Linked DNA regions of Nothobranchius furzeri. The protein of the gene in region 2 purifies or fractionates together with the protein of the main gene of each other region. This does not show direct contact. Links are inferred from orthologs where the notes say so. Each region holds a gene or a part of one and is shown on either strand. Other genes may lie near its edges.

The links. The genes of interacting proteins can lie anywhere in the genome.
Region 1: the proteins of sem1 (region 2) and rad23b purify together in Homo sapiens (co-immunoprecipitation; 3 studies listed by BioGRID and IntAct, with this or other methods). This does not show direct contact. The link is inferred for Nothobranchius furzeri from reciprocal best matches to the Homo sapiens genes SEM1 and RAD23B.
Region 3: the proteins of sem1 (region 2) and ube3c purify together in Homo sapiens (affinity purification with western blotting; 3 studies listed by BioGRID and IntAct, with this or other methods). This does not show direct contact. The link is inferred for Nothobranchius furzeri from reciprocal best matches to the Homo sapiens genes SEM1 and UBE3C.

The regions. Positions count from the first base shown.
Region 1 is NC_091746.1:57,625,072-57,628,571, reverse strand, and holds part of rad23b (UV excision repair protein RAD23 homolog B), read right to left. Parts: intron 2,761-3,500; coding exon 2,633-2,760; intron 2,387-2,632; coding exon 2,230-2,386; intron 2,118-2,229; coding exon 1,990-2,117; intron 1-1,989. UniProt on the Homo sapiens protein: Multiubiquitin chain receptor involved in modulation of proteasomal degradation. Binds to polyubiquitin chains.
Region 2 is NC_091751.1:26,676,023-26,679,987, reverse strand, and holds the start of sem1 (26S proteasome complex subunit SEM1), read right to left. Parts: upstream 2,801-3,965; 5' UTR 2,716-2,800; coding exon 2,640-2,715; intron 2,258-2,639; coding exon 2,164-2,257; intron 122-2,163; coding exon 79-121; 3' UTR 1-78. UniProt on the Homo sapiens protein: Component of the 26S proteasome, a multiprotein complex involved in the ATP-dependent degradation of ubiquitinated proteins.
Region 3 is NC_091747.1:47,535,394-47,538,893, forward strand, and holds part of ube3c (ubiquitin-protein ligase E3C), read right to left. Parts: intron 2,938-3,500; coding exon 2,840-2,937; intron 2,757-2,839; coding exon 2,624-2,756; intron 2,023-2,623; coding exon 1,775-2,022; intron 1-1,774. UniProt on the Homo sapiens protein: E3 ubiquitin-protein ligase that specifically catalyzes 'Lys-29'- and 'Lys-48'-linked polyubiquitin chains.

The DNA.
Region 1 (3,500 bases), on a different chromosome or scaffold from region 2:
CAGATGGTTCTCATCCACAAATTTCATTTATCCAGGATGTAATTTTGTCAGTGGAAAAACAGCTTTTTTGCATAATTGGTACTAAAATCAATAAAAGACACCTGTGACCAACGGGAATCTGACATCATCATGGCTGATCTGTGTCACTGGAGGATTTAACAGAGCGTGCTCCCTGGAGGGAACGTGTTCTCCGTGAGTGCTCTGATCTCAAATGCTCGGATTTGGGACCCTCTGTGGCGCTACAGACAAACCTCACAAAGCCGATCACAGTTCATATTTTATTTTACAACTATGAGAATCCCCCAGAACCTCCTCTGCTCCCCGATCAAACACGCCACGTTGCCAAGGTAACCAGACTGAATGACAGCTCAGAGGCTGCGCTCTCAGACAACATTTCCAAATAAAACTAAATCCAAACAGAACGACCCCTTAAATGTAAACGAGAACCTGTTACTCTACGACTGATTAAATCCATTTTGTAAATTTATTTCTGACAGGAACCTCTCCTCTGTCCCGACCGCGTAACCTCTGTAACTTGTTTGGTTCTTTTGTGCTTCGGCAGCCAGCGTTTCGATCTCGATCTTTTCTGGGAAAAAAAACCAAGGAATCCCCTCATGTGCTGAGGACGTAGCGTGACCAAATATGGTTCATTGAGGGCGTTTCTCGATGCAAATGGCTGTCAACAGGCACGAGCACCTGAGTACGCACAAGTGGGATTAATCAACAGCTGACTGCGGAGGAACATGCGTACGAGAGGCCACTACATGTTTCATAAACCAGATTTGGGCTGTTCGTACCAACATTCTAAATTCCATTCGTAGGATTGAATACAGGAACATTTCTACGAACGTTTGATAAATGAGGCCCAAGGTCTGACAAAAAGACACAGGCTAATCAGAATGCTCAACACGATGACCACGTCTGCCATTGTTGCATTGTTTTTTTAAGTTGCGTACTGATAACTTTGTGCTGCTCTTGGAACTCTGGAGTCCACCCGGCAACAACGTGTCCAGTTGCTCTAAAGGTCTGATCAAACCTGGACCAACGAGCTCGCAACGGATGAGCAACAGCAAAACATTTCAGTTCAGCTGCTCAGGAGCTCAACTAATTTTAATTCATGTGTTTGTGTCGTTGCTGCTCTCCAACGGTCTCTGAAAGGGATGAGGCTGCGGCTCAGGTGGAAGAGAAGGCTAGCATCAGCAGAGGCTGTCAGTTTAAATCTAGTGTCCCTGGGCAACCGTGTTGCCCCTGATCTACAACTCTGTGTGTGTGTGTGTGTGTGTGTGTGTGTGTGTGTGTGTGTGTGTGTGTGTGTGTGTGTGAGTGAGTGAGTGAGTGAGTGAGTGAGTGAGTGAGAGAGAGAGAGAGAGAGAGAGAGAGAGAGAGAGAGAGAGAGAGTTGATCAGCCTTTGTAAGCGTGGTTAAATCTCCGGCCTTTAATTGCACATTTTCTTCATCACACCCGTATTTTGCAGGTTCTATCATCTCAGGATCTATCTGAGCACTCGTTGCATTCGTCCTACAACAATGACACAGCACACGTTTATACTGTAAAGCAATAAGGCGAATCATGAATATGTGGCCAGTGTTGCACTAGTCTTCGGGGATATGACATCTTAAACCACACGGTGTGGTTTTGTGTGCTCCATGGCAAATATGTGCTCTGTGTGTATTTGCAAACACAGATTTTAAACATCTGCTTTCATCGTGGGACAGGAAGTGTCAGCAGGTGTGTGATTTCAGCATCGCAGCTCAGACGATTTAGAGACTGTTTAGTTTCAGCTGGATCAACTCTGAACCTCGGCTGAAGCTACGTTTTCAGAAGTATTCCCTTTAAAAGAAGGAAAATATCTGTTTTCTAAAAATAAAAATAAAAAAAAAGAGCGTCAGACAGGTAACAGGTGGTAAAAGTGATTTAGTAAATAAACTCCAAGTGTATTTAAATGATTTTATATCGTTCAGGCAGGACGAAATCTGTCGGTCCTTTACCTGCAGCAGCTCTGGGTTTTCCCTGCCGATCTCCTGCAGCAGAGCTGGAAGCAAGGCGGCGTTCTGCTGAATCAGTTGTCGCATGACGTGGAACTGAGGCTGATTTCTGAGGAAGCTCAAGGGGTTACCTGTTAGTGTGAGTCAAAGTGTCAAGCGGCGAGTGAAAGAGAGATTATTATGCAGATAAACGTTTATTAATGAAGGCTACTGTGTGTTTTAGGCAACAGAAAGCCTGTTTACCTCCTGCAGCACTTGGTGAAGAGCCAGTGCTGGCAGGGCCACTAATGCTGCCAGCAGGTGCAGCTGGAGCTCTGCTGGCTGGAGCTCCACTTGCTGGAGGTGAACCAGCAGCAGCGTCGGGTCCTGTTGCAGGGCCCTGATCTCTGCCCGGAACACCCTGTGGGAGGAGTCACGACTCATGCTGGTTTTAAATGTCACGCAGAATAAACAAGTAGCTCGAAGATGTTGTTGCCGCTTTAAATCTACCATAAAGTATGCATACCAAGATTAAGTCAAAGTGTTTAACAAGGTGCGTTTAGGTGAAGGTGTCTGTGATTATGAGAAGGAACAATTAGCTCCATCTTTCCCAAAGGTCACACAGCTGTGTGACCTTTTAAGGAGACTTTATCGGAGCTGTTCTTACCGAGAGCAGGTACTCCATGGCTCTGTCTGGGTTGTTAAAGCTCGCTCTCATTGCTGCCACCACCTGCTCTCTCTCATAGCCCATTAGCATCATCTCGTTCACCATGGTGTCATACGATGAGCCTGTCACTGCAGAGGCCATGAAACACACGCACGCACACGCACGCACACGCAAGCAAGCAAGCAAGCAAGCAAGCAAACACACACACACACACACACACACACACACACACACACACACACACACACACACACACACACACACACACTTAGTACCTTTTCTTTCCAAACCTTGTCACTATTAGCTTTTTCTGTTGGAGCTCGTTAAAAGACACATTTCTGGTAACTACTCACTTTAAAAGTGAAAAATTAAACTAACACTCTGTGAATGTAGGAATTACATTCTTAACATGTTCTCTACTATGGCACCCCATTAGTAAAGTATAGTATATAATAAATCGGTTAATTGATTAAAAGAGTGAATTACTCAATCAATCAATCAATCAAAGCTTTATTTATAAAGCGCCTTCCGCAACCCTGTCAGGAAGCCCAAAGCGCTGAACATGGTACAGTTGTAAGTAATTATACTGAATAAATCAACAATAAAAGAAATTCAAATTACAAAATACAAATTACAAAATACAAAATGGAAATTACAAGATAGATGAAACATTCCGGTAAAATACAAATGTGTGAAACACAATTGGATTGAGTGGATGGATTGAGTGTCCCAATGAAAACTGTGGAATGGATTCAACATAAAAGAGGGCCAAAATCAAACATGTTCTGGAAACGCCAAGGGGAGGAGGTGTGTTTTTAGGTGATTCTTAAAGACTGGCAGAGAAGGGGACAGCCTAACTGAGGGTGGC
Region 2 (3,965 bases):
CTAATTAACATTTGAAAAGCGGGGCGGTGAACGACCCAGCAATAAGAGTCCATATCCAGCGGAAGGCTCCGTGAGCCACTACGACGTCTCCATCTTGTATCCGTGCTTTTCCAGCTCCGCTCTGCAGGGAGGAGAAGGAAAATAAAAGATCAAGTCAGCAGAGATGATTACAGGTGGGCGGCCGGGGCACAAGTACCCTCGGCTATTGATTGTAAGAACCATTAAGTGATGGAAGTGAAAAAAATAATAATACATAAATATTAGATAACGCATGCAGCCATGGATTTAATGATTATACACACATATGGCCGCTGTGCCCTTACGCAATAATGATATCTTTAAGAAACAACTTAATAGTACGGCGACTGTAACTGACCTAAATACAACAGCATTCTGCTGTCCTGAGTGTACTCAAACATAAACAGAGCTGCCACGCATCTATCAGCTGGTATCGATTCTGTGTGTCGGCCTAAAACGCATCATCAGTCCCATCCCTGAGGAGAAACGCGCTTTAATCAATCCAAACACTAAGCCCATAGTAATGTCACTAGGGATGGGTACCTTTGACATTTGAATCGATTCGGTGCTAATTACCACTACCTAGGAATCGATACCGGTACTTAACGGTACCAATTTTAGATACTTTTGAGTGTTTAATATTTTGATTCTCTTTTATAATTAAATATATATTTTTCTCAATTCATAACCATATTTGATAAATATCACGATAAATAACATATAACAGTTTGTATTTTAACATCGTCCTTGTAGTTTTATAAGCTGATAATTAAACTGAAGCAAACATCTTTACTGTGAACTAAATTTACTGTGTATCTTCATTCCTTTTACCGTCCTTTTTCATTTGATTTTTCCTACTGGGAAGTTAGAATTTCCGAGGAGAAAGCGAACGCACCATTAGATGATAACAATGGTGGCATAGGAAGCTAACATATCAAGCTAACGTTATCTTAAACAGTTTAACTACTGGAGCAGATTTAAACGATGATGCCTCACACTTAGATCGTTGTCACTGGTTCATCTTCACCCAATCACCCGTCGCATTTAGTAAAGCGAAGCCAAACTTTAGAGCGCGTTCATGTTCTTCTAGTCGGGATTTCGGAGTTCCGAGGAGAAAGCGAACGCACCATTAGTGAAACGGAAGCTAACAAATCAAGCTAACGTTATCTTACATTTTATTTACCTACCGGAGCAGATTAAGATGAGGATGTCTCACTTAGATCGTTGTCGCTGTTTTCATCATCACCCAGTTACCCATCACATTTAGTGAAGTGGACCCAAGCTTTAGCGTTCGTTCTTTCTACCATGCTGCTCTGTTTACAACTCGCTCGCAGGGACCGATGACATAACGCTCTTGCGCATGCGCAGCTGTCTAGGCAAGTACTCGTTGTGAAGGACGGGTATCGAAACGAGGCACCCTTTCAAATGAAGTGAATCGGTGCTCGGCCGGTACTATGGAATTCGGTCGGTACCTTAAAAAGTACCGAATTCGGTACCCATCCCTAATTTTTCCATGTTGTTTAAAAGCATTTTGCTTACACAACATGAACTATGAAGAAACTTCTGAGCTAAAACGTTTCAACAGAACAAAGTACTTCAGGCCCTGCAGATTTTTATCCACATCAACAGAAAACTTGAGAACTGCACAACAATATTGTCCCGATTTAGTTTTCTAAACATCTGGTGCTGATACTGAAGTTTAGAGAGTTTATGCTGGATAATTCGTTGGAGCGAGGGGGAAATGTGGCAGAGTGCTCGTAAGTTTGGTGTGGAATATATTTTTATTTTAACTAGCAGGTGGACAGCAATGGCTCAACAGAATAAAACGGCACATATTATGTTGCCATTTAATGTTTTCTCATAAAACACTCTGTACACAACAAAACTATCTAAACACTTAGTTTTCTACAACAATCTGAACAAGAACATTTCAGGTATCATTTATAAAATAAAAAAAACAGGAAATCAAGAGCTCACGTGGAAGCAAGAACCAAACAGTCATAAACACCACTGTTCACCAGCCACGTGAGATGATGATAAAACAGCCAGTTTAACGGTTTCGGGTTGACTTGCTCACCTAGATAAAAGTACACTCTAAAGTATTTACACAGAGTCTGTTCAATCCTGCATGAATCTGAGGGTTACCGTAGCTGATTAGAGAAATCATCCTCCACATTGTCATCGTCCCAGTTGTCCTCCCAAACATGAGCGTCTTCATCTTCATCCAACCCCGTCCAATCTGGAATAACAACGCATGCATGTCAGTAAATATAGCTGTAACCTATAGATTCACTCTTAAAAACCCTCCACATGAGCTGATGTTTCACCTGTTCTCGTTTTCCTCCGTAACACTGTTAGCTAATGCGTGCTAATGAACACAGGTGGTGAAACATCAAAACGGTACAACTACACAGATATAATACAAGCACGTTTCCGCATTACAAGACAAAAAGATCTACTAAGCTGAATAATCCGTTTTGCTGAGCTAGCTACCAGTTCCTTGCTGTTTTCCCAGCTAACCGAAGCTAAGGCTAACGCTAGCTGAGTCATCGTAGCTAGGCTCAGAAGCGACAATCCGCTAAAACAAAACTACATCGCTAAATAACAAGTGGCTGGTTTACCTTCAGCTGGGAATTCTTCAAACTCGTCATCCTCCTCTAGTAATCCCAAATCTACGGTCTGTTTCTTGTCTGCCATGTTATCTGTCTCACTCCGCCGCTGCTTGCTAATGAATGCTTCCGTTCCACACGCGCAAACGGAATTCTGGGAATCTGTGTCTGTTCACGCGAGTTGTTACTGCGCAAGGGAGCGCAGGAGGAGGCGCAGCTCCTAAGAAGAAGGAGAAAATGTCATTTCTATAGCGCCTCTCAAGATTAAAATCACGAGGCGCTTCACAAAAATAAAAAAGAATTTAGAAAATGGTTAAACATATATTTAAAATGAGCAAAAATAGACAATTGTGATTAAAAAATGTTAAGAAAGAGAGAGAATGAATAGGAAAGAGGGAAATCAGTGGATCCTGAGGAAGGTGGAATAGGTGGGGAGAGCAGAATAAAGAGAGAGTGGTGAAGAAGGTCATACAAAAGCCAGCTTGAACAAGTGAGTCTTCAGCTGTTTTTAAAGGAGACCACTGAGTCCACTGATCTCAGCCTCAGGGGGAGAGAGTTCCAGAGTCTGGGGGCCACAGCAGCAAATGATCTGTCACCTTTGGTCTTTAGCCTGGTGCACTGCACAACCATTAGGCTTTGATCACTGGACCTCAGGGACCTGCTGGGGGTGTAGGGACAGAGAAGATCACCAATGTAAGATGGTGCTTGTCCATGTAAGGCCCTATAGACCAGAACCAGGATCTTCAAATGAACCCTGAAGTTGACTGGCAGCCAGTGAAGCTGAAGGAGAAGCGGGATGATGTGGGTATATTTGGAGGAGTTGGTCAGAAGCCGAGCACAGGCGTTCTGAACCACCTGCAGATGGTTCAGGGAGGTTCTGCTCAGACACGTGAAAAGAGAGCAGACCAAGAGCAAAAATCACTTACAGACGGCTTTGTGTGCAAATGTTTTTAATGGATCACGCTGAATTTGAGCTATTTCTAACTTTTACCTTATTTAGAATAGAATAGAATAGAATAGAATAGAATAGAATAGAATAGAATAGAATAGAATAGAATATCAATTTATTGTCCCTCAGTAGGGAGCTTATAGTGTCACTGAATCAATAACATTCATTATATTGAGCAAATAGGAAAGAAAAAAAATTAAGAGTAAATATCAAGAAAACCAATTGCAGAAATACTTAGAAAGTTAAAAATAACTAAATACTGGATGTAAACACATGATAAGAGATACTGCCTTCTTGCAGTCTCTTTGATCGCAATAGACTTCACCTGGTCAATAAAAGATTAAATATACATTTTTAATAAATGCATTGACGATTATCTAACAAACATT
Region 3 (3,500 bases), on a different chromosome or scaffold from region 2:
CGTTTTACTTTTTAAAGAATGGACAGAAGTTTCTTTAAGCATTGTAGTAAATAAATACACGCTTTTATGCAGCCGGTGTTCATATAAGAACACTTTACTATTATTACCCATCATGGAAACAAAAGGCACTGTGTGTGTGTGTGTGTGTGTGTGTGTGTGTGTGTGTGTGTGTGTGTGTGTGTGTGTGTGTGTGTGTGTGTGTGTGTGTGTGTGTTAGGGCTGGGTACAGAAACATAGTACCTCTTTAACCATTTGGTTCTGTTTACTTCAGCTATAGAGGTGTCACAAATAATGACCTACTTCTTACAAGTTAAGCAACTGGAAAACTCCACATGACTTTTATTTTGAAAGTTTCTGGATGTTTTACACTGCTTTTGTGTTTGACATCCTGTCTGGCCCAATCTGAACTGGTGAGCTTGATGCTTTGGAAGCTTACCTCGTAAGGCCTACCTAGTTCCGTACACTTCTGGGACGCTTCCAAAACGCGACACTTAGCAGACGACGGAAAAGCACCCATCCACTTTAGCGGCAACTAATTACTGTTTACTACGCTTTGTGGACATTAAACGACGTTATGCGTCAGGTGGACAGTGCTGTGTGTCATTTACAACGTTTCTTCAGATTCTCAAACTAAGAAACCATTGAAAACATCAAAAGTTTGGCTGCTTTTTGTGAAAGTAAATGAAAAATCTGTGATAAGATTTGTGTCGCTAAATATGAAAATACAAGAAATTTTATAGCCAAAGCATGCACCGTCCTCCACTGCAAATAAAATAAATCAGACCCGAGTCCACAAGCTTCTCCCTCTGCTGCACATTGGAGGTAGCGGTCGACCGATATTGTTTTTTTCTATTGTCGATACCGACATGTAGTCAGCCGACGGCCGATATGTGCTGCCAATTTCCAGACATTTTCCACCTTATTTACATGCTAAAATGGTACTAATAACATCAGTTGATGCACAAAATTTCCAAAGCTGATGCGGTTTTTGACTCTGAATTCAACTAACTGTTAAATCTTAAAGTTCATTTAGGGTACTTATTATGCAGATGTTACTAGTGAATGTAAAAATACATTTAAATTAAATGTACCAGGCACCAGGCTGCCCGAGGATGTGCCTGCCTTTACTGAGGACAATTGTCGACCGATGCCAATAAAAAAAAAAAAAAGGTAAATATCTGCCTGGTCCATCTCTAACCGGTGGTGACATCAGGCTCCTTTTCTCTGAAGAAAAATTGCTAGAATAAAGTTTAGTGTACATAGTTTTAACTTGTTTCATTTTTCATTTCTACTGTATGTTTATTTATTTAATTCCTTGGGACATAAACGTTTTATATTTCAGGATTTTAGAGAGCAGACATTTTTTTTAACCAAAGAAGCGATAGCAGTTTAAACTTGATCTTCATGCAGTTTGTGTTTGTTTTGCACTAAAAGGTAAATACTAACTTATTGTTTTTTTTATTTATTATTTAAATTCTGTGTTTTCAACTCATTGTACAAAGATGTTAAATTGTAGTTTCCCGTACATTTTAGTTAGGGAAACAAAATAAATAAAAAATAAATTGTAGTTTACCAGTCGCACAGAAAGTTTGCCATTTTTGATCAGTTTACTTATAAAAAAAACACGTTAGTCTTAAAATATTATTGATCAAAAACCAGGTAATGTTGATGTACTGGTATTGTAAAAACTCTAAAAGGCGTCTGGCTCTCAACTCCGACATGGAAGGAAGGCTAGGCCTTTACATCTTATTAAATTTGACTTTGAAAGGCTCACCTTTCCAAGGATCCTGCCCAGGAAATAGTAGTGTCTCGTGAAAGAGTCCCCCACCAGCATCTCTGCAGCAGGGTTGGGGTACAGCAAGCCCTCGTTGGTCGTCTTGAAGAATCCCTGGTTGGGATTGAAGCCCGACTTGAGGAGCTCGTTAAGGAACTCGCGGAAGATGCCTCCACCATCGATGCCTGCCTCGTCCAGACCGTGGGCGTTTAGAAGGTGGACTCTGATCTTTTTCTTAAGATCCGGCTCTGGTTTAAGGACACAAAGAATAAATATCCGATGGAACAAGAAACAAATTCATTAATATTAAAGCAAAACAAAACAATCCCTAAAAAACACACTTTTCATTGAAGCCCTTTCTTAACTTGCCAAACATTCGAATCAATTTCAGGTCATCTTTCAGAATAATAAAGGTACAAAGATAAATCAAGGCGGCTATAACTTATGGACACATAGATGATATAGATCATGTCTTCAGTCCAGGTCTCCTACTACTCTTTTTAATCAGATTGCCCACCCCCTCGCTGAAGTAGCCTTTCAAATTCAAACACAAAAGAGGTGACTTAAAATAATTGATTCTGCTTTTATGTGATCCATTACAATAATCAGAATCACAATTATGCTTTACTGAAATCCAATAGTCTGTTCCAGGAGAGCGGCGTTCTTCATCTTTAATGCAAACTGGAAACTGGATCTTCATTACTGAGGCTTTATAGAACATAATAAGACATTCAGAAACATTCACTGGAACCATGTGAGCGCAAACAGGATGTAATGTAGGCCGATTTCACAAACAAAACAGAACACAAAGTAAGGAGATGCTGCTAAAGTCGAAGACGCCGCTGGTACCGTTTTCTGGAGAGAGTTTATCGTAGGCGTCTTCGTAGATGTAGTTGCGTCGGATGGTGACATTGATGCCATCGGGGAACGGCCCGTCTCCTTGCACGTCATATTTGTCGACGTAGATTAACCTCTGGAAGATCTAGAGGGCGGACGTGAACCCAGCGACAGTCAGTAATGATCCTCAGAGTTCAGACACGTAGAACAGGAAACATGTTCTGATACCTTCACCCTCTCCTCAAAAGGAACAACAAAAGGCAGCTCGGTGAGGATGGCCAGATGTCTCTCCTCGGACACGGATAGCTGCAGAGGCTCCAGACCAACTGCAGTAAAACATAAACCGATTTTAAATAAGATTATAAACAACTTTTCCACTTGTCAAGATACACTCAATTTTTTACTAAATGTTTCTCCCAAATACTTCATGGAAGACAAATTTTAGGAATGAACAATCTGTCAATTTCTGATCGAGTTTGTAATTTCAGAATAGTGGCACATTTGGTTATTTTTACGAGTTTGCTTTCCTTTTCGTGGCACTACTGTGGCCAATATTATTTATTAATGTGGTCGTCTGTCTCTGTCGCAATTGTCTGTCCCTCACTCTGCGCTGTTCTTGAGTGTGAGACAGTGAGTCTGCAATATCCCCACTGAGGGCCAAATAAAGGTATTCTTATTCTAATCTTACTTGCTCGTTTCCTGCAACAAAAAGGATTTACATAATAACACTATGTGGATATTGAAATTTTCTGATGGCACAAACCTTTGTGGAGTTATAGTACGGTATAGTATGGTATCAAAGAACGCGAGTAAAATCTGTCGGCATTTGGCGATTGGTGTGAAGGTGGACCCACCTTGGTGAAACAATGCTAGGGAAACTTTTAATGCA